4 linked regions of the Caenorhabditis elegans genome follow. The protein of the gene in region 3 interacts with the protein of the main gene of each other region in a pairwise test. Each region holds a gene or a part of one and is shown on either strand. Other genes may lie near its edges. The genes, in order: inso-1, dyf-3, C44B9.2 and mig-39.

Region 1 (5,513 bases), on a different chromosome or scaffold from region 3:
AATAATGTAAACATTCCATTAAAAATCCCCCAAATTTTCCAGCCGGATCGTATGTCGCTCTCCTCCAACTCCCAAATGGTGATGACATCTCCCTTATCAACGCGTCGAAAATTGAATGTTCGAGAAAAATCGCGCCAAATGATGCGCTACGTCCACGAGCAACGTGCAGCTCGGACACTTTCCATTGTGGTCGGAGCATTTATTCTCTGCTGGACACCATTTTTCGTGTTCACTCCGCTCACCGCGTTCTGTGAAAGTGTAAGTGTAGGATTTGATGACCCGCTAGATGTCGGGCATGCAAATTTATGTTTTGGTAAAAAATTTGAACGGTATTCTAGTGAACGAGAGTTTTTAGTTTTTGAGGGGAAGGCGCCTGGTGAACTTTCCGGTTACTTGCAACTTTTTGAAAAATTTCTGAAAAATGCTTTTATCAGAAATTGACAAAGCCCCTACTATGATAAAACTCGACTCACCATTGCTCCAAAAACCAAAAAAAAGCCCACAAATAGCCGCGGCTAATTAAATTTCCGTTTCAGTGTTTCTCCAACAAAGAGACCATCTTCACATTCGTCACATGGGCCGGTCACCTAAACTCAATGCTCAACCCGCTCATCTACTCGCGCTTCTCGCGAGATTTCAGACGGGCATTCAAGCAAATTCTCACGTGTCAACGCCAGCAAAAGGTGAAAACCGCATTTAAAACGCCACTGTCACTCGTGTTCACTCAACTCATCTCGGTCACCCAAATGTGGGAGCAACCGCCGAATACTTCAATTGAATAGTTTTTATTTTGTATTTTTTATTTTTGATTTTTTTTCAATTTGTAATATGAACAGTTTTTTGGAGTACAGCAGAAGCTCGCTCTGAAAAAAAATTTAAAAATTAGAAATTGGTATTTTGAATTCAGCGTGCCAAGATTATTTAAATTCGAGTTGCTTATAAACTTTATATTTTTTTGAAGTTTCTGAAATACAGTGCAGAAGGCTTATTTGTAGGTACAGAAGTGCCTGCCTGCCTTTTTCAGTAATTTTTATTTTGGAAAATCTTTTAAAATCTTCAAAATCTTCCAGAATGTTTACCTTGTTTCAAAGATCCTGAAAAACATTAAATATGTGCAAAAAAACCACTTGTTCCAAAAGTTTTTCATGAATTTATTTAAAGGTGCCTAAGAATTATCATCGAAAAAAATACGCTCGCAAATTTTTCTCATAATTAACATTTGATCTACCTTTGGAACTTGACTCCGCCGCTAAATTTGTTGCCGTTGTTATTTCGTTGTGGCTGTCTTAACGAAGAGAAAGGAAGAGCCTAGTGAACAAGGTAGATCAAAAATAAATTATGAGAAAAATTTGAACTTTTTGAAAAAAGAAAAAAGCAAAATTTTATCGTATTTTTTCGATAATAGTTAACATTCTGAAAGCCTTTGAAAATTAAAAAAAAGTTTTCACAATCTTCAGCCGCTTTCATCTTCTGAACATAAAAAAAAAACCATAAAAAATCTGCAAAAAGTCATTCTTGGAGCAATGTTACAGACTTTGAAAATGGTGAAAAACTGAGGAATTAGGTAAACGTTTAGGGTCGAACTTCTCATAGTTCAAAGACTTCGTGTACAGTTAATTTTTTTTCTTAACGTGCCGGATAGTTCTCACGGTAGCACAGAAACTAGATGGATTGGTTCATGATACTCAGTCTGGAAACCTATATTGGCTACTATCTCGAAAACCATCACAAAATCGATTTTGCGATGCATATAAGAAATGACCGCAATGAAATTATCTATCTTTATTTGTGATGAATTTTCGATTTTGTACTTCCTGGCCAAGTTATGCACGTTTGTTCGGTGGAGCGCGTTTGCACCCATTTAGCAACTGAACCACCGTGTTCTATTAGGCAGGTGAGCCCGGAATACATACAGAGTTCTGAAGTCAGACCGCTAATTATAATTAACAAGAACAGGTGAAAATGCAAGTACATCCTATAAAGCATGAAAACTATAACAAAAGCTGAGAATTACTTCCTTAGTTTTTGACGATTTTTAGCGAATCTGACAAAATAATATTACAAAAAGGGCCCCCTTCCGATCCAGTGGTTCCAAGTGCCCCCCCCCCCTCCTCCCCAAAAAGGCCATGACGTGACATCTCTAAAAGTGCATATCTTGCGGTTGACTAAACAAAACCCAAGATAAGAAAATTAATTACGCTCTCATTCACAGAGACGTCCATTTAACTGCCTATGAATCATCTTTTCCAGGGCACCGAGATTTTCTTCATTAGCTGAGATTTCCTTTCGGTTCATTATATTGAATTTATTCATCTGATTTGAATTTTCAGTCGGCGTCGTTTCGCCAAAAAATTAGCTAACGAGGTAAAGCAGCTGCTCTGGCCGCGTGCGATTTTCAGGTAAGTTCTTTCAAATTTCAGAAATTTTATCGGATTTTGTTCGCACAACTGGTTTTTGTAAAAAAGTTTTACATATCGATTTTCTTTGGTATCCTTTTGTTGTACATTGTCTACCAATCTGATAGTGAGTAGGTTGAATAAATTTAAAAATAAATTTTAAAGTAATACCTTCAAAAAATTCTTCAAAAAGTTTTATTTATAACTTTGCATATTATGTATGATTTAAATGAATTTTTTCCAATTAAAAAAGTTATATAATCTTAAACTTAGGCTTAGGCTTAGGCTAAGGCTCAGTCTAAAGCTCAGGCTTGGGCTTAAGCGTAGGTTTAGGCTTAGGCTAAAGCCTAGGTCTTGACTTAGGCTTATGCTTTGGCTAAGGCTTTGGCTTAGGCTTAGGCTTAAGCTTGGGCTTAGGCTCAGGCTTAGGCTAGGTTCCCTCCGTTTGTTCTCTGACTAAATTTTTTCCAAAATATTCCAAGTAAACCGGCAATTGTGAGCCAATGAAATTTATTAAAATTGAAGGCACATTTCAATTGTTGTCTCTAAAAAATGAGACTGTAAGGATAGCGTATGGTATATATATCTCACCCACATGGTGTTCTAAGGGCCTTTCGTTTTTATTAGATAATATAATTTTATAAATTGAACATTTTGAGCTTACACGTAAACAACATGAATATTATTAAAAATCTGCAAACATTAGTTTTTGGAGAACTTTTACTTGCCTCAAAAATAGTTGTTAGAAAACCTAAAGTTTCATATTTAATTATTGCCAATCAACAGTGTCAGTATGCAGTTAGAATTAATTTCAAGTCGAATATTTTTTTTGATTTGTCATGTTTTGTCATGTTTCCCTCCAAATGTTGCTCTTTTTCGAAATGTCAATTTCTATCCCCTTCTGCATCTTGCTTTTTTCAATAAATTTCCTTTTTTTCTAGTTCATGATTTGTATGTAAGTTTTTATAGTTTGTTTTTCACTTTGTTTCTGATATATGTAAAGCATGACTATTTGTTACCGGTTTAGATTTATGGAATTTAATTGAACAAATAATAAAAAATTAGGTGAAAAAAGAAAGAAGTATTTTTAGTTGGAATATATTACACTTTGAAAAAATCTAAAAGTTATAAATAGTTGCGGGCTCGAAAAAAAAATTAAGTAATTGAAATTAGGTTCGAAACTAAGGTTACGCATAAAAAACTATAAATTTCACATCTAAAAGGTTTGAAAAATTTACTTCGAAAAAATGTGGAACCTTTTTTTTCCAAATAAATATTCTACTTTTGTCTGAAAACTAAAACTTCAACTTTCTACAAAATTATAATTTGGCTTCTGAAAAAAACTAAACTTTACAGCCTGAAAACTCAAAAGAAACTGCTTTTTTTTTAAATTTAAAAAAAAAAAAGCTTTTCGCCGAATAAAAACTTAAATTTTCTAAAACTTTTCATCACATTTCTGATTTGAAATTATTTTTTCCAAAAAACATGGCAGTTATCTGGTAATTTACGTTTGAAAAGTCTGAAAATGTTTTAACTGAAAAAATTATAGTTTTATATTTTCACTTTAATAAATTTCTAAATAACCGAAAAACTAAAATTCGTAGGTTGGCAAATCCGCGAAAAATTAAAAAGGCACTATATTTCGAATTTTCACGTTTATCACAGAAAAAAAATGTGCAAAGTGTATCAATATTTAAGCAATTCAAATGTTCCGAAAATTTTCATCACTTTTCTGGTTCCGACCTGGTACTGACCGGATATGAAGTATTTTTGGAAATTTTTTCGTTTTTGTCATTTGGAAGTGATCCGCAAAATGATTTAATTCAAACGATGTATCCCGGCAGCAACAGCTCAAAACCTTAGAAATTTCAGATTTTTAAATATGTAGATTTCTTAAAGAGCTAAAATAGTAATCTTCAGTACTAGAGAATTCCTCGAACAAATCCCAAAAAAAATTTAATGAAAAAATGTCAATTGCAATGTAGAACCTCCTAAAGCTATTCCATTATTTTTTTGGAAACATGGGGGGAGAGAGCAAGTGAGAGAAGACGGGGGGAGCACATTCATGCACAAACACACACTCGCACTTGGTTGTTCCTTACCCCCTCACTGTTTCATTTTCTTAAGCCTACATATATACTCTGCGTCTCCCAGCTCTCCCCCAACCGAAGCAGCAGCAGCATCGCCGGGCACCCTATGGCCGTGGACTAGTTCCCCCCATTTCCCGCTTCATATCTCTGCTCGCCCTCTTCCTTCTGTGTGCTCTCTCGGATCCTTACGCAGTAACTGACCATATGGTCAAGTGGTTGGCGGGTGTGCAGTGCTAGTACGATTGTCTTGTCTATTGATTCTTTTTTTTGTCATTCGGAGCTTGGCTGGAATTTTCTGGTTTTTAGGTTTTCAATAACAGCGTTTTATTCTTATGAATTTAAAATTTGCAGTTTTTTCTTTGAATACAACTTTGAAGTTTTCAATTTCACATATATATATATACAATAACTAAAATTATATTTAATTGAGAAAAAATTAAATTTGCTTATTTTTTAATTTACAATATTTCCTGAAAATTGAACTATATACCTATTCCAGTTGAAAAAAAAGCGTAAAATAATATTTTCTTTTTAAAAAAATTCAAACTTTGAAAAATTTATTATAGAGCATTATATTTTGAGTAACAGTATGTAATAATTATTTATAATTTGGTAGCCTGTTAAAACTGATAAAATAAAATAACTTTTAAAAAACCTACTCGAAAAAACATGAAATAATTTTTCCCATTTTTTTTCTACCATTTTGTGGTATTTTTTTCTCGAATTCAATATTGCTGCATCCGTTCCTGTTCAGTTTTTGTTCAATTAATCACACCAAAGCCAATAAATGGGCGGAGTCTAATGAGATAATTTTGTTGAATTTTATTTTAAAATAATAGTCTGGTTTCTATTTCGTAGAATTAAAAATTAATTTTGAGGTTTCAGCGTAAAAAATAACTTGAAATTTTAAAAACCGGAATATTGTGCCAGAAGTGTCCAATATTTAGGCGGAGCCTATTTTAGGGCTGTATTGTTATCCAGAAATTTTTTGAATATTTTTTTTAATGGAACAGATTTTCCTGTAGGC
Region 2 (5,221 bases), on a different chromosome or scaffold from region 3:
TTTAAGATTTTCCGATTTTTTTGCCTGAGAACTTTTCTGGGATCTTCCGAGTTGTTTGGCTAAAAAAATCTGAAATTTCAAAAATTTTCAGAATTCCATTTGGGTTTTTTGTAATTTTTGGCCAGAAAGTTTCTGAAAAAAAATCAGAAAAATCAGAAATTTTGTGGAATTTTCACAAAAAATTGTAGTTTTTTAAAAACTATTTTTCTGCAATAACCTAAAATATATTTCCAGGTTATGGCTCAAGCTCATCTCCTCCACAGTACTCTCAATCGGCATCGTCGACCGCAACGTATTCCACGTCATCACCTAGTAGTAATAGTAAAACCTCGAGTTTTAGGTACCGAGTGGATCCCGCCGAGATTGCCGTTATGCTTTTTTGAATTTTTTGACGATCTCTAATTGTTTTGTTGAATTGTAAATATGTAATAAAAAGGTGCATTTATTTTCTGGGGTTAATAAAAACTTAAGGGTTTTGCAAAAAAAACACAAGAAGAAGCTCAGAAGTCGTCTCCACTGCTCAAGTCGCTTTTCGCGTCGTCGGCCACGTGGGCGGTGGTGATCTGAAAATCGATAATTTTAGTTTCCACGGGTACGCGCTTCTGGTTTAGATTACGACCAGGCAAAGCTTAAGGCCAGAAATCGCGGGAAACTTAATTTTCACTGGAGTGACGTCACAGCCTTTTTTCTGAAGCTCATACACCGACAGGGTGTTGTTGGCCTGTCTGCGGGGTACGGTAGGTTGCCGTCACAGGAGGCATTTGTAAAAAATGTGACGTCACAACGCATCCTAGTGGAAGTTTCTGAACTTCCAAAGATCTAGCAGCTAAATCCACCTGACCATGAGGAGACGATCATCTACCCTCCCAAGCACCTTATCACTCACCCCGACCATATAATCCGCCTCGCTTCTCTCCTCATCCTCCTCCTGCCGATGAAGTTCTCTCTTGTGATGCTGCGCGACATTATCATCCATCCTGATGATCTCATCATCCTCGTCATCCTCATCGTCCTCATCATCATCAGAGGCATCACCACCCATCATGTTACCGTACACCTTGCGAACAGCTGGAAATGGTTAATAAACCTGTGGAGCTGATAGAACTTAACACTTACACTGCCTCCTGTCCACCAAGGGGGCGTCGGAGCCGTCGTCGTCGTGGAGTCCGATGCTGAAATAAGGATGTCAGTCGGAAGTTCTAAACTTCCATGAAAACTCACGCATCCTTCTTCTCCTGCTCCAGCCGCATTTTCTCAACGGCCATCCTCATCGCCTTCTCCAGCTCCTCCTGCCGTTGCCGCTCGGACCTCGCCAAGTCATCATGAACTTTTCGCAGATAGGACAGGTTGCGGAAGTTCAGCACGTAGACCTGGAAGCTTAGGCTTCACAGGGCAGCTCGGTATCCGGTGTCTTACCTCATAAAGTTTCTTCAGTCGCTCCTCAAACCGCTCGTACTCGTCCATATACTGAGGTCGGAAGGACTGTAGCTTTGCGAATCTTTTTTGCAACTGCTCGTACTCTCGCTTCTTTCGCTCTATCTTCTCGTCGAGCTCTGCCTCATCGCTGGCCACGTTGTTCAGCTTGTTCTGAAAATTTGAGAGGTTAGCTGGGGAGCCTGCACCTAACCTAATTGTAAGTGACTCAGACCCTCCGGGCTTTAAGAACAATCACGTGGGTTCGAGTGGAGTGGGTGTTGCTTCAAGCCAGTTAGGCTAATTCAGTCTATTCCTTCAGCTCCAAGATCCTCAGCGGACTCCTCGAGGCTAGGGGTCTCTGAGCTTCTGGAGAAGATGCACAGGCCCGGTCTAGTGGCTTGAAGCCCTGCATATACCACTAGAGTTCAGGTAATGAAGCTTCAAAGTCTGAATCAAAGTTCAAGTCACTCTTTGACCAAGCCCACGCCATTAGAAGAAGTCCAAGCTTTTTACTGTCCGCTTCACAATCAGGATCGAGCCAGGCCAATCTCTCAAACTCTAAGACGCCAGAGCTCAAACCTACGCCACCAGGAGCTCCGTGACCCGTCAAGCTTACCGATAGCTGCTCAGTCTCCTGAGCGATGTTCTGCACTGTTGCCTGCAGCACCTTCTCGGCCTCAGCAAGTGGTACCGCCCGTGACGCGGCTCTCTCGTGTTGCTGAGATATGAACTCCTGCCGGGACAGCAGCTCACTGAGCAGGGCACCTGTTTCCGGGAGTTGTGATGATAGCTGACGAGTGATTCGGACCTCCTGCATCTGAACTTTCGACAGTTTTTTCAGGCTTTTTCAGGCTGGTGGCCTGTGAGACCCACCTTCGACGAGAGCTTATTCTTGACTTGGGTCCATTTTGGCGAGTTATCAGTGTTCGGGTCCTCTGCCTTGGCCTGGTAGAGGATCTTCATGGCCGGTAGGAGTTCCTGCACCGCATGACCATCAGCCTGGTACAACTTTTTTGGATTCATCTTGATTCTCGAATTTTGGAGCATCAGGAGTACCGCGTTCTTGATGAAAGCGACCCGATCAGCTTCTGTTTGGACTTCGTGTGCGTCAAGGTTGGATTCGGGCTCAAATCTGGAATTTTTGGGCTTAGAGTAGGCTTGGAAGTTAGTGGCCAAAGTTTCTATATTTTTCGGCCAACGATTTTTTTCACTGGGAAACTAACTTTTTCACGATCCATTCCAGCAATTCAGCCACCAGCTGAAAATTTGGGGTCCGGAAATTCTCAATTGACATCAAGCGAGGGTATCGGAGGCTTCGCGTCATCTCACACAGGTCTGAAGTTGGCGAAATTTGGGACTAGAATCCGAACTCGGCCATGATTTTGTAAAATTCAATTTTAAGTGTATTTTGGGTCTTTTTTTTGCGTTTTATGGTTTAGAAACATTTCTCACCTAGATTTTAATGCAACACTTATTTTTTCCATATGAAAATCTCAAAGTTCAAATTTAAAATTAAAAAAGCCTTAAAAACTTACTTCTCAGCTCACGATACGACATTTTTCGTGCAGAATTCAATTGAAACTTCTCTTCTCAACAATTGCCTGCCTATTCCCCCATTCAATATTTCCTCCGTTCCCATAGAAACTCCCTGCAAACACCCCAAAGACTACGGTCGACGAGCTTCTGCAGCTCAACCGGCGTTTTGTACGCAAACACCGCGACGCCATATTGCACACATTTTTCGAGAGGAGCGCCGCGCGCATTTTCTCCGAGTTTTGTTTGCTTTTTTGCGCATCTTTCATTGATTTTTTATTAAAATCGGGGGAAATATGGTTTAAATTATCGATTTCCGCCTGTTTTAGTGGTGAAAATGTGAAAAATCGTAGTGAAAAACCCTAGAAACCAGTAAAATTCTATTTGGAAGGGTTTTGGTCTAAATTTTGAGTTTTTAGCATTAAAACAATATGCTCAGCAGAAAAACTAATGAAAATGTGAGAATTTTGAATCAAAATACCTAAATTTTTTAAAAAATCCTAGTTTTTCTCTATTTTTCTCAAAATTTCCGGCAAAAGCCTCAAAATTTCAATTAATTTCCGGTTTTTCAGGTAATCCCCGGTCGAAATGGCTCTGAGAAAGTGTGGAAACCTGTTCGTGGCTCGTCTCGCTGGCACCTCGACCAGAGCGGCTTCCAGTGAGTAGAAATTGCAAAAAATGAATGGAAAAAAAACGAAAAAATCGCTGATTACCGGCTAAAAATGAAGAATTGAACGGAAAAAACGAATTTTAACCTAAAAAAGCATAAAAATCGCCAATTTTTTCAGCAATGACCGTCCGTGACGCCCTAAATCAGGCTATGGACGAGGAAATCAAACGTGACGACCGAGTTTTCCTGATGGGAGAAGAAGTTGCTCAGTACGACGGAGCTTACAAGATTTCCAAGGGATTGTGGAAGAAGCACGGTGATAAGCGAGTCGTCGACACTCCAATTACTGAAATGGGATTCGCTGGTACGGGAAATCACGCTGGAAATCGAGAAAAATCGAGAAATGTTGACTCGGAACGTCAAAATCACTAATAAATCCCCAAAAACAGCACCATTTTTTCGAAAAGAAAGTGTCCAAATTTACTTTAATTTTGGATCTTTTCTCTCAAAAGTTCAGTTTTTACACTAAAAATTGGATTTTTCGAACAAATTTCGGAAATTTTCCTAAAAACAATTAATTTTCGGCATTTTTTATTGAAAATTTCAATATTCACTGCAAAAAGCTCGGAAATTACGGAGTTTTGATATTTTTCGCAGAAAATTCCGGTTTTATCAAAATTTTGTCGAAAATTAAGCTGAAAAATCACATTTTTTATATAAAAATCAGATTTTTCCCAATGTTATTTGCAGAAAAGCTCTAAGACCGCGCAAATTCAATTTTTCAGCAAAAATTGTCTAAAAAGCTCGAATTTTCGCATTTTTCTCGATTTATTCAATTTTTAGCAAAATTTTTTCAGAAAAAACTGAAAATTCCTCCAAAAAAATCACATTTTTTTCAGGAATCGCCGTCGGTGCTGCCTTCGCCGGGCTCCGTCCAATTTGCGAGTTCATGACATTCAATTTTTCCATGCAAGCCATCGATCAGATTATTAATTCAGCCGCAAAAACATATTATATGTCCGCCGGAAGGGTACGGTCTTGGCAATGTGCCACGTTTTCTGGAAATTGCGATTTTCAGCGAAAAAATAGCCGAAAAATTGAAGATTTTCACCAAATTTTTGACTAATTCGTGAGAAATCACGCTTTCTGCTATTTTTAGAACGAAATTCCTCGGTTTACACTGATTTTTCAGGAAAAAGTCAATTTCTGATACAAAAAATGCGATTTTTCTAGATTTTTGACTGAAAATCAGGGTTTTTCTGAAATTTCTACACAAATTTTACCTCAACAGAGCTGATTTTAGCTTTAAAATCCGATTTTTCTCGACTTTTCACTGAAAATTTCATTTTTTCAGCCATTTTCGTTGAATTTATGCTGAAAAATCATGTTTTTCACATGGTCTCACGCCATTTTGATAAGAAAAAATTTGTAAAAATCATCAACTGATAAGAATTCTTATCACTGAACACTTTCTGATCAGTGAATTTTATCAGAAATTGGAAATTTTTTTTCGGAAAATCGGTCCAAAACTGAGAAAATATAGGGAATTTATAACTTTTAAAGTTTTTTTTTCTTGTTTTTTTTTCTGAAAACACCGCTTTTCCAAGAAAAATACCGGAGAAAATGATATTTATAAAATCATTGAAGAAACATTTGAAAACG
Region 3 (5,570 bases):
ATTCCAAAAAAATAATGGCACGGTTTTTCCGCCTTTTTTTTGCAAAATTCACAAAAATTCGAATAGAAAAACAAGATTTTGATATTTAATTGAATATTTTTATTTTATTTCGAACCTTCTTGCTAAAAACCCCATTAAAAATTGAATTTTAAGTCTAATTTTGTTCCAAAATCCCCAAAATTTCCAGATCCAAGGTCAATGCTTCATGTCAACCGTCAAAGTTCAAGCATCCAATACAGTATGCCCATGGTGTGTAGATGATTCACAAACAACTACTACAACTACAGTAACCCCAGCACCACCATCCACCACGTTTTCTCCATTTTTCGGAACTTCGAACAACACCTCATTGCTCATCGGAATGCTCATTCTTGCGTTTTTCTCTTTGCTGGCTCTCACATCGACTACCGTACTCCTCTGTGTGTATATTAGTGATCGAAAGAAGCCTGAGTTCTTTGATATGCCATTGCCACAGGCAAATAGTACTGTACTTGGCGGGAGGAGGTAAGGAAATTCACATATTTAGATTCAAAAATCGAAAAAAATCAATTTTCAGTAGCGACACGGGCCTCTTCACCACAAAATCATCATCAGAACGTTGGACAGAATACGGATGTGAACCATGGTCATCATTCCAACCATTTAATATTGATTCAACATATAATCCACCAAGAGAGACGACATGTGTCTATAAAGTTACACATCGGGAGGACGACGAATCAAGTGATTCCGGAAATGCGTCACTATAATAATTTTTTAATTTTTTAAAATTTCTCCCAACAGTTTTCATAAAATTCTAATTTTTTTTGCCACAAAATTTAATCAGATCTCTAATTTGTATTCTTCTTGTGATATAATACTGCTCATTTGATGTATGTTCATCGTAAATTAAACTAAAATTTTTATTTTTTATGATTTATGTAATAAATAAATTACCGGCTCAGTAGCGGTTTTCTTGGCCCAATGATTCGAGGAATAATGGGATAAAAGTTAGGTGTATGCTGGAGTCTCAATGGAGAACTTAAGGGAATTAATAATACTGGGGGGGGGGGGGGGGGGAACTTGGGAAATAATAAAACAATAAAAATATTAGGAATAAAACAGACGGGGAGTTACTTATGAACATGAAAGAATGCAGCCGAATTGGTCCATGGAAATTGTACAGGTGCCGTCGGAGATCACCATACCCGAGCGGGATGTGTGAATTCGTTTCTCGCCTCGCTTCACGTAGCATTTGTCCTTGTCCTGAAAGAAAATTTATTTTTTTCGGTTTATTTTAACTTTTTTTTTCGATTTTATTGATTTTCTGTCAAAAAAATTGCAAAAAAAAGCTGGCTACGGTAATCTTAAAGGCGCACAGCGGAATATTTGCAGTCGGGTCTCATAAGGAAGTTGCTCATCCCCGGCCATGCGCCTTTAAAACTACCGTAGCCCGCCAAACATTTTTGTTAATTGTTTTCAAATGTTTTTCTTCGATTTTCTCGTTTTTCACATAATTTTTCGATTTTAAATCCGATTTTTGTCGAAATTAATAATTTTTCATCAACTTTCAGCAAAAATTCTAAGCCCAGTGCTAGTTTGAACCCAAAACTGCACAAAAAATTGGGTTTCGAACAGATTCAGGCAAATTACAGCAAAAAACTAGATTTTCATTAAAATTTGAAAACTTTTTGACCGTATATATTTTTTTTCTTAATTAAATCAATTTCTTACCTGAATAGCCATATCAATAAAAGCGCTTCTGAGCTGAGCCGTGAGAGTTGTCGCATTGACGGTAAGCTTCACTGGTTTTGCCTCCACATTCACCTCTCCCGATTGAGTGTTGTACTTGAGAAGCATCCCGTTGATATGCACAGTGAGGAGTCCATCCGGGTGCTTTTCGTATTGAGCTTGCTGCATTACAGCTTCGCACTTTTCCATATTCTGAAAGAAAAAAGAATTTAATTCAAGTTGAAAGAATGCTTTAATTTTAACTTACACTTGCTCCAAGATCAGATTCTCCATACATTTGTTGAATGGTATAATCCATATTCATGATCGGAAACTCTGGTTTCTCAAGAACCACCGCCGAAGGTCCAGATTCTTTGGCTCCACTCAAAAGATAGGCTTCTGTGAGTGAGTCCATACTGAATAGAATTCCTTCTGGTCCCATCACAGCCATTCGATCATTTGTATTCAGGAATTTGCAGTGAACATGCTCCTTTTGATGCACAATCTTTGCATATTTGTGAAGAAAACTGCAGACGGCACCATTCGAGTTGATGTAGGCCATGAAATCCGTGTTGCAGACGACACGAAAACTGCGATCCATACACAGTTCGACGATTATTCCGGCGGCCATGGATACCATCACAGTTCCTTCCTGGGAGCAAAGGAGCAGTGGATACTTGACAACACCCTGATCTGTCTTGATTCCTCTAATTGGGACTGAATTGGTTGCAAATGGCAATGGGCTGACCAGTTGGAAGAACTTTAGATTTGGATTCGGAATAGTTCCTGAACAATTTTAAGGTTACTTTTGATCTACTAGAAGACTACAAACTACTCACCTTGCCTAGAAGCAGAAGAATTTTCCTGTTTCCGAGGTGTCGACTTTCTCTGATTCTTCTTTCCACTGTTGTTGCTTCCACTTGACTGTTTCCATCCACTGAATGGAATGTGAGCTGGTGGCGATAAGTCATCGAATACCGAGTTGTTGACTCGTGGAAGACCTCTGCAAATTTTGGAAATTTTGAAAAAAAATTGGTGGTTTTAAGTAGTCTGAGCGGAATTTTGCTTTAAAAATTCCAGAAAATTTGCGAAATGTCTTGAAAAAATCGCATTTCGCCGAATTTGGAAGTTTTATGAGCAAAATTTCAAAAATATGGCCGAGAAACCCAATTTATGACGGCCATCACTCTGTTTTCCAGGATCTGAGGTGCATTTTTTCAGAATTCGCTGCGTGGCCTAGTTTTCGCATTTCACGGCCATGCAGCAATACCTGAATGCCCTTCCGGAAAAAAATAACGTGGCCGCGAAAAAGTTATCGGTGGCCTAGTTTTCTTAAAATTTCCAGATTTACACTTTTTTCTATAACTGTAATTTCTTTAATTTTTCGATAAAGCCGATTTTTCATCCATTTGTGCAGGGATGGCCTAGGTTCCGCATTTCACGGCCACGTGGCAGCCTATACAAAAACTCCAAAAATTTAGATTTCCACGTGGATTCCTGGCTTTTTCTAAAATTTTCCAGTTATTTCGCTATGAAAAAGCCAATTTTTCGGGGTTTTCTTTTCACAAATGGTGAAAAATCTGAGAGCGAAAACGTGGCCGCGAAAAAAGTAATCGGTGGCCGAACTTTCTCATTTCGCGGCCACGTGGCAAAACCTGTATTCCAGCCAGATTTTGAAGAAAATTTCCAGATTTTACTAGCATAAAGTGAAATTTCTTCACAATTTTCTGGGATTTCCTCTTAAAAAAATCCGAAAAAAAAACTAACGGCGGAAGTTCCACAGACATCACAGCGAACGGTGCCGTCGTTTTCTCCGCCATTTTGAGTTGTTGAGATGGAGCTCCCGGAGCAGCTGTTGCACGTCGTTGAGGCGTCACAGAATCTCTGAAACACGGATTTGTCAGCAGAGAGCTCACAATCAAAAAATGCTCCAACTCACCCTTTCTGGTTTCGCAACGTCATTTTGGCTTGCCGGAGATTCGTCGTACTGAATTTTCCGATTTTTTTTCGTCTCTGATTCTCTGAGTTGGACTATGTTACGTTTCGCCACGTGGCGTGCCACGTACCTTTTTTTTTTGTTAAATTTTGTGGATTAATCTTCACGTGCTTTTATTTTTTTTTGGAAAAAATAATTCAAAATTGAAAAAAATCTCGTTTTTCAAATAAAAATTTTGCGCAAAAATTGGGTCTCGTCGCGATTTATCCCTTTAAACTCTAGAAATAAAATTTGAAAATTTTGGGTCTCACCACGAAAATATGCCTACTGAAAATTTTACGAGGTCGTGGGTACGGTAGTTTTAAAGGCGCCAAAATACGGTACCAGGTCTCGACACGATGGATTTGTTTATTGCAAAAATGTGTGCGCCTTTAAAGGATACTGTAGTTTCAAACTTTCATTTTTCTGTTTATTTTTTCATAATAATGTTTTAAATTCATCAAATAAATATAATTTAATCGGAAAACTTTGAAAAATCAATAAAAATTCCTAGGAGTTTGAAACTACAGTACCCTTTAAAGGTGCACACTTTTTTAAATGAGCAAAAATTTGTCGTGTCGAGACCGTGATAAAAAATCGGGTTTTTTGTTGTATTAAAAATTTATTGATTATGAGGACAGAGATGATGACATGAAAAGATTTCAAATCAATAATTAATGCAAAAATTGGGTCTCGTCGCGATTTCTGGAACAGGATGCGCCTTTAAAACTGTGGCAGTGGGTACGGTAGTTTTAAAGGCGCAGATTCAAATTTTCCATTTTTCTCAAATTTTCAATCGCGAAAAGAACCCAATTTTTGTCGAAATTTCAATTTTCTGAAAAGAAAAAAAATGCAAAATAAATTAATAAATTAGTGACAAAATATACAATTATATCAAACTATTTCTACATAAAATTCTAGTCTTTCAAAGCGTCCAATATCCGAAGTCGGGCTTTTTTGCTCACGTGAGCTGCGGCACCGAGTAGAGAAGACAGCTGCTTTGATGAGTATTCCTGCAAAATTTCGGGAAAATAATTTATTAAATTGGAAAAACCCCGTACAGAATGCGTCTTTATCCACTGTTCTAGACCATTTTCCGGCAGATAATAGGCTTTGATGTATCCATCGACGAAACTCGCGTGAGGAACTGGCTTGATTCCGCAGAGGGGCTCCAGCTGAAAAAATACTGGAATTTTTCGGGTCTCGAAACGATTTTTCAATAATATTTTCCTAGTTTTTGGGCGGTAATTGCCCTTCGGCAAATTTTTTGTCGTAGAATTCGGCAAGTTGCCGGTTTGCCGGATGTATTCAATTCCGGCAATTTGCCGGATGTTTTCTATTCCGGAAAATTGCCGGTTTGCCGGGTGTATTCGATTCCGGAAATTTGCCGATTTGCCGATTTGCCGGTAGTTTACCATTCCGACAATTTGCCGATTTGCCGCTTTGCCAAAAGTCTTCAATTCCGGCTATTTTCCTATTTTCCGGAAGTTTACCATTCCGACAATTTGCCGATTTGCCGCTTTGCCGAAAGTCTTCAATTCCGGCAATTTGCCGATTTGTCGCTTTGCCGAAAGTCTTCAATTCGGAAATTTCCCGATTTGCCGCAAGTTTACCATTCCGACAATTTGCCGATTTGCCGATTTGCCGGATGTATTCAATTCCGACAATTCGCCGATTTGCCGGATGTGTTCAATTCCGACAATTCGCCGATTTGCCGGAAGTTTTTAATTTCGACAACTCGCCGCTTTGCCGAAAGTCTTCAATTCCGGCAATTTTCCTATTTGCCGGAAGTTTTTAATTCCGACATTTTGCCCATTTGCCGATTTGCCGGATGTATTCAATTGCGACAATTCGCCGATTTGCCGGAAGTTTTTAATACCGACAA
Region 4 (5,548 bases), 2.4 Mb from region 3:
TTCTTTTGCTCCTACCCCAACCCTTTCTCTAATATAAACATTTTTAACTTTTCTTCCCTGTCCGCTTCCTCCTATTTTCCCGCATTTTTCGCTCCTCTCTGTACTTTTTATTTTTTCTCAGTTTTCCAATTTTTCGTTCGTTTGTTCCATCACCGCCTCCTCCTTCTCGTCAGATGCTTCTATTATTAGCTGTCCTACCGTTTTGAAAGGAGGTAGAAGAGTCACCTGCCACGTCATCAATTGTATAGCACATCAGAAGAAGGTTTACCTCTCGAATATTGAGAAATAACAACAACCACTTTTTGTTTCAATTGATTCGTCGCTTCTTCCTTTTCTTTTTTGACCATCCCAAAACATATTGGATATTGAGTTGTGAGCAACCGGTGAAAGTTTTGAGAGAGAAAAACTATGAGGAATGTTGGTATTCTAGAACTTTGTTTAGAAATGTGAAATGTTCATATTCGTGACTGCCGTGATTTTGAAACTAGTAAAAAGCAGTTGTCCAGCTTTGTTCCCGTTGTAACCTTTAAAAGAAGAATTTAATACAGTTTAGTATGATCTAGATAACTAAATGAACCACACAGTTCATATTTGTTTCTCACTTGGGTGGTCGTAAAAAAGATAAAAACTGATTAAAAGTTATGCCTGCTGGGGCTTTACCACAATATATATATTTCCCTGATGCCACCTTAACCTCTACCAGGTCAAAACTTCATGCAACCCTTCAAAAAACCACCACCAGAAGCATCCCGTCTATCATTGCTAAATGTTTGGCAAAAATTATATGACCCATGGGACTGGAGAAAGGTTTGCCCTTATTTCTTGGATCCGGAAATTTTGAGAGTAGTACTCGTAACTCAAAATGAGATGGACGATGCCCTCTGGGCACTTTGCTCCTGATTTTTAGATTTTTTCAATTTATTTTTGTAAGGACCTAACAATAGAGAAACCTTAAAACTCGACGAATATTTTGAGAATGTGTCCCAAGTGTTGTGTTATCCCATACCCAAAACCCGTATTGTCCCTTCGTTTGTTTTGCAACAAACGAGCCAGCGGCTCCTCTTAAAGAGCTCAGCTCGACTCGGGCTTCAACATGAGCGCGCGCCAATTTTTGATGGATTATGTCGTTTTGATGGGTAAGAGCACCTGATGCTCCTTAGGGGGATGCGACTCGGATACACGAGCCTGAAGATGGGGAGAGTCCAGCGTTTATGGTGTGTGAGTATGATTGATGGCCTAGGTTCGTTATACACTATGACAACTCTTCCTTCTTAGTTTCGACATCATTGTGAGGCCTAAACAAAACTCTCTCTGTGATTACATCTCTTGTCTCACTTATTCCCGATTGGCTTACCGTAGTAGCTTCTTCTTGTAGGTCGCGTATAAATACTACTTGGGTGGGTACTGGTGGAATCCAAGTTTCATTTTTGTTTAAGTAAAACTTTTTTCTGTAAAACCAGGTACCTATCAGGGCCACAGAAAAGGTATCCACAACTTGTCTGGTCGATTTTCTGCCAATTCGATTCGTTGGAAATTCTTAATTATTAATTTTACGGGAAGTCGTAGTAACCAGCATTTTAAAATCTGAATTGGGTTCTACAAAAGATTAACCGGACCCTACATGACTTCAGTGAATCTGAAATCGTAGACTTCTAGATGCTCATTTCAGCTACATGCTTCAAATAGTCCATATCATTCAGTATTATCAAATCTTATTAAATTGAAAGAAATTCAGTTTTTTAACCCAAACGTTCTATTACCAGCATCTCCAAAATACCTCAATTCCTTCTCAAAAACATATCCATTCACCTATTCTCATATCCATGTCCTTCGACCATTTGTCTTTTCCTTCTTCGGGTTTTTTGTCGCAACGCCCTTTTTTGCTCATCCCAATATCCCTGTGTGAAGCATTTTTTCTCAAAAATCCAGAGAAACACAAAAAAGAGTAACCCATAAATTTGCGGCATTTCCTTCACCACCGAAAGACGAAGCCCTCATTTCCAAATAAATTCATATTTTTTTGTGGTTTCTTTTAGGTTTTGTAGATCCCGATAGCCGCCCAAATTTTCCCCATGGGACATGAGATTTCATTTGTTTTATTTCTTTACTAATTTAAATTTTTTTAAATTAGAATCAAGACCAATTTTCAGGTACTATTGCCACAATTGCTGAGATCATTGCACAAATCCCAGGAAAACCCGAAAAACGTAAGTTAAACCTAAAAACTAGAATAGTGTGTATACTATAAAACCAAGTCAGAAAATATCTATATAGTTATGATGATGTTTAGTAAATATTGAGAGAAGAAGGAAAAAAGAAGGAATGGTATTTGTGAGTGTTTTATGGGCGATTCGCGCTCCACATTTCACTCAGTACCTGACAGTTTATTGTTATTTATTTTTAGAGAAAAGTAAGAGTTTTCGAATTTATCAACTTTCAAAGGTTTTATGAAAGAAATTTTGGTATACTTATTTACCCACTGACCCACTGAGATTATTCAAAAATTTCGGATAGCTTTAGGTTTTCTTTTTACAAAATATGATATTTTGTTTTTATTACACTTTACCAGTTAAAAATGTTTCAATATACAATTTAGATTTAAACATTTATTGACTGTCAAAACTGAAAATCTTCCAACCCAAACCCTTCCAATTCATTTTCCATAACTCGCACATTGTTCTTCTATCATTCAATTTAGCAATAAGTGGCTCTCGAAATCTTTGTAGGTCCCACCAGTTGATGAGAATCCACGAACACTTTACACCCAAAGAGTTTTTAGGAGGTCTATTGATGAAAAGACACGGAGGGGCCGGATGGTTTTTGGGAACAAATGAAACCATCTGGTTTTGGTTACCACGGAGAAAGAGGGGGAAAGAGCAAGTTGGGGAAATGGGCAAAAAATAAAGAGGAAGAGCACTTCGGTGTTGGGAAAATTTGAGTCACTTTTGAGTTTTGTTAGACCAAATTTTTGCTAAATGATTTTAGGATATGGGGAGAGTATAGATAACATTTAGCATATATAGTAGGTTCATCTTCAGGTGTTCGTATAACTTTTCAATCAAATTTTGCGATTTCAACGAATTTTTTTTCTAACTGCCAATAATTTACGATCATATCAATTTCCAATAGGTTGAGCATGTTTATTTACTCAAATTTCGTTCGAGTCGTCCATTGTATAATATGAGTCAATTTTCCACCAATTTTCTCTTATTCCTCTCTCTCTTTTTCTCGTTTCCTCAATCACCCATCACTACTGTTTGAGAGCCGTCCTGTGACAATGTATGCTGACTCATTTTGTATTTTCCTCTTCCGAAAATTGGCGATCATTACTATTATTTCTGTGTACCGCCCTTGTCTCAGCCATCTCCTCCTGCTAGAATGGTTTCATGAACATTCGTATATTTAAATAAAACAGTTTAGGTTTCGAAATGAACAGTGAAGTTGTGGCCGAACAAGTTGAGATAGCCCACTTCTTTTTGGCGTCTTCTGGGGTAGATTCATATCTTTTTTATGCGTATTTTGGTGGGAGGGGGCCGAGACAGAATTCAAGATCCTCCTAAATATGTATGGTTTCTGAACCGTTGCATATTACTTTTCAAATCCATTTTGCTCTTATTCAATTATTTTCCCAATTTTTACACAACCTGTAAATAATACCACGAAGTCCTTTGAGATAACCAAACATCATAATTAAACACTCCAAAAGTTGTAAGATTTTTGTAAATTTTATGCCAAGGCCTTGGTAAATGTCCAAATTATCTAGTTTCAGATTTTTGAGAAATTCAGAGTATTGTTGCATTTTTGAATGACTTCTAGGTTTATCAGTAGCAAAAACTTTGCAATCGCCATTGATTGACTAAAATGAAAAAATTTTCAAAAAATGTTATGATATTTTTCTTTCAGTTTAAATAAACACTTTTCTCTTTAGTGCTCCTCTACTTTTAAGCATTTAAAAGTCTTATTGAACTTTCAAATTATTTATTCTTTGAAAACTTCCTCTATTATCAAAAATCAAGGGTTTCTACCACGCAAAACCAAAATAAATCAAATCAAGATATTCAAATAATTCTTCATTTTTCTTTTTCCCTTTCATTCCCATTTCCCCAAAATCCGTCGCAAAATCGGCTCTTGGACACACGCCGATCACCTCTTCTTCTTTCATCTAGAATCCGTCGTCATCCTCTCGCGTACAGCCAAGTAGCTTACTGATAAGCCAGCAGCTCCTCGAGCCGTCGGGTTTTTTTCAACCGTGTTTTTAACATTCTAGGTAGATATAGATATAACTCACCGGTATTATCGTTTCATTTTAGTATTGAAAACAAAGATTATCTTTTGGGTATAAGAAAAAATGAAATAGTAATTTTGAAGAGTGGTATTCCAATTTTTATTACCTATAGGATAATTTATTGTTTTTATTATTTTTGCTGTGAATAACAGTATTTGTCATATATTAACATCTATCAAGAAATTTCAAAAACTCTTAGACTATCATATTCTATGTTCTACAAGCATATTTTCTTGATAAGTGTGACGTCACACACGGTTTTTAAACTTATGGTAAGACTCGATTTTAATATTCAATAAAAATATCCCTGTGTTTTAAACTGCGGAGAGACCGTCAAATCACCAAGAGTATTTCAAATGCTCAATTTGTGAACTGCGCTAAAATAATTTTTTGAAAATCCGTAATTTATCTAACCATATTCCTAATTTTGGCATTTCCATTTTGAATTTTTTTCCAGTCTTTGAAATTGTTTTGCTATCACAATCAAAAAGTTTAATTGAATGTTGAAAACTACCAACTTCTAAATTGAAATATTATGTTTCTAAAGTATAATGGAATTGAATTTCATTTTCAACTTTAGTTTTATTTTTCAACAAATATCAATCTAAAGAAAAGCCTACAGGTAATCCTAGTTATCCGCTTTGCAGTTTTTGGAGAGTTATTGAATCATAAAATCTTATCAAACTGCACAATAGTTAGGAAATAGTGGAAGAAAATCAGTAATAGAAGGCATCTATGGTAGGCAAGCATTTCTTTATGCCTGCCTGCCCATCGCGTGGCCACTTACAGTTAGGCAGAAGTGTTGACACAAGGTATGAAAAATTATTACATCTTCCATCCAAAAAAACGTTATGGAATATTTTAAAATGTACTGAAGAAATAATTTTAAAATCTTTTTCTGTCGGAATGTTTATTGATATCTTCAAAATAAACCCTTTTAAAAATTATCAATCGGGTGCAGTAGTAATTTCCTAACATCACTTACCTATATATCCTCCAAAACCTCAATCAGTTTCTCCTTGTAAATACTCAGCATCCTGCAGTTTTCTTGAGAACTCATTACCTTAGGTGATGTGGTTGTTGAAATCTTGTTGTCAACTTGAAAAAGATTATCCCACTCTACCCGGTTGTTGATGTACTCTCGGTTATCTTCTCATTTAACTGTGCATTCTTCTAGTTTCTCATATTCTAATTTGCTAAGTGTTACACACCTCCATCTTTTCGACTCCGCCCCATTGGGCTCTTCTTGTTGAAAACATAATC

What was found.
Region 1: the proteins of C44B9.2 (region 3) and inso-1 interact in a two-hybrid assay, tested with the Caenorhabditis elegans proteins (one large-scale study listed by BioGRID).
Region 2: the proteins of C44B9.2 (region 3) and dyf-3 interact in a two-hybrid assay, tested with the Caenorhabditis elegans proteins (one large-scale study listed by BioGRID).
Region 4: the proteins of C44B9.2 (region 3) and mig-39 interact in a two-hybrid assay, tested with the Caenorhabditis elegans proteins (one large-scale study listed by BioGRID).

Annotation. Positions count from the first base shown.
Region 1 is NC_003284.9:1,297,877-1,303,389, forward strand, and holds the start of inso-1 (BTB domain-containing protein), read left to right. Parts: upstream 1-2,272; 5' UTR 2,273-2,399; intron 2,400-5,513. Other genes in the region: dop-4 (Dopamine receptor 4), read left to right, coding at 43-258, 537-782.
Region 2 is NC_003282.8:3,396,151-3,401,371, forward strand, and holds dyf-3 (Clusterin-associated protein 1 homolog), read right to left. Parts: upstream 2,974-5,221; coding exon 2,952-2,973; intron 2,752-2,951; coding exon 2,640-2,751; intron 2,549-2,639; coding exon 2,290-2,548; intron 2,234-2,289; coding exon 2,033-2,233; intron 1,588-2,032; coding exon 1,417-1,587; intron 1,371-1,416; coding exon 1,222-1,370; intron 1,173-1,221; coding exon 1,117-1,172; intron 1,069-1,116; coding exon 887-1,068; intron 564-886; coding exon 501-563; downstream 1-500. Other genes in the region: C04C3.14 (uncharacterized protein), read left to right, coding at 235-292, 341-383; pdhb-1 (Pyruvate dehydrogenase E1 component subunit beta, mitochondrial), read left to right, coding at 3,538-3,607, 3,738-3,923, 4,459-4,589.
Region 3 is NC_003281.10:10,873,561-10,879,130, reverse strand, and holds C44B9.2 (Lgl_C domain-containing protein), read right to left. Parts: upstream 3,700-5,570; 5' UTR 3,673-3,699; coding exon 3,650-3,672; intron 3,595-3,649; coding exon 3,478-3,594; intron 2,714-3,477; coding exon 2,550-2,713; intron 2,497-2,549; coding exon 1,979-2,496; intron 1,924-1,978; coding exon 1,714-1,923; intron 1,246-1,713; coding exon 1,117-1,245; 3' UTR 889-1,116; downstream 1-888. Other genes in the region: C44B9.3 (C2 domain-containing protein), read left to right, coding at 188-504, 557-749; vps-50 (Vps54_N domain-containing protein), read right to left, coding at 4,603-4,860.
Region 4 is NC_003281.10:8,464,885-8,470,432, forward strand, and holds the start of mig-39 (Zinc finger BED domain-containing protein 39), read left to right. Parts: upstream 1-2,150; 5' UTR 2,151-2,207; intron 2,208-2,824; exon of another isoform or gene 2,825-3,114; intron 3,115-5,548. UniProt on the Caenorhabditis elegans protein: Regulates the timing and orientation of distal tip cell migration during gonadal development. May act in parallel to cacn-1 and Rac GTPases to control the anterior and posterior migration of distal tip cells.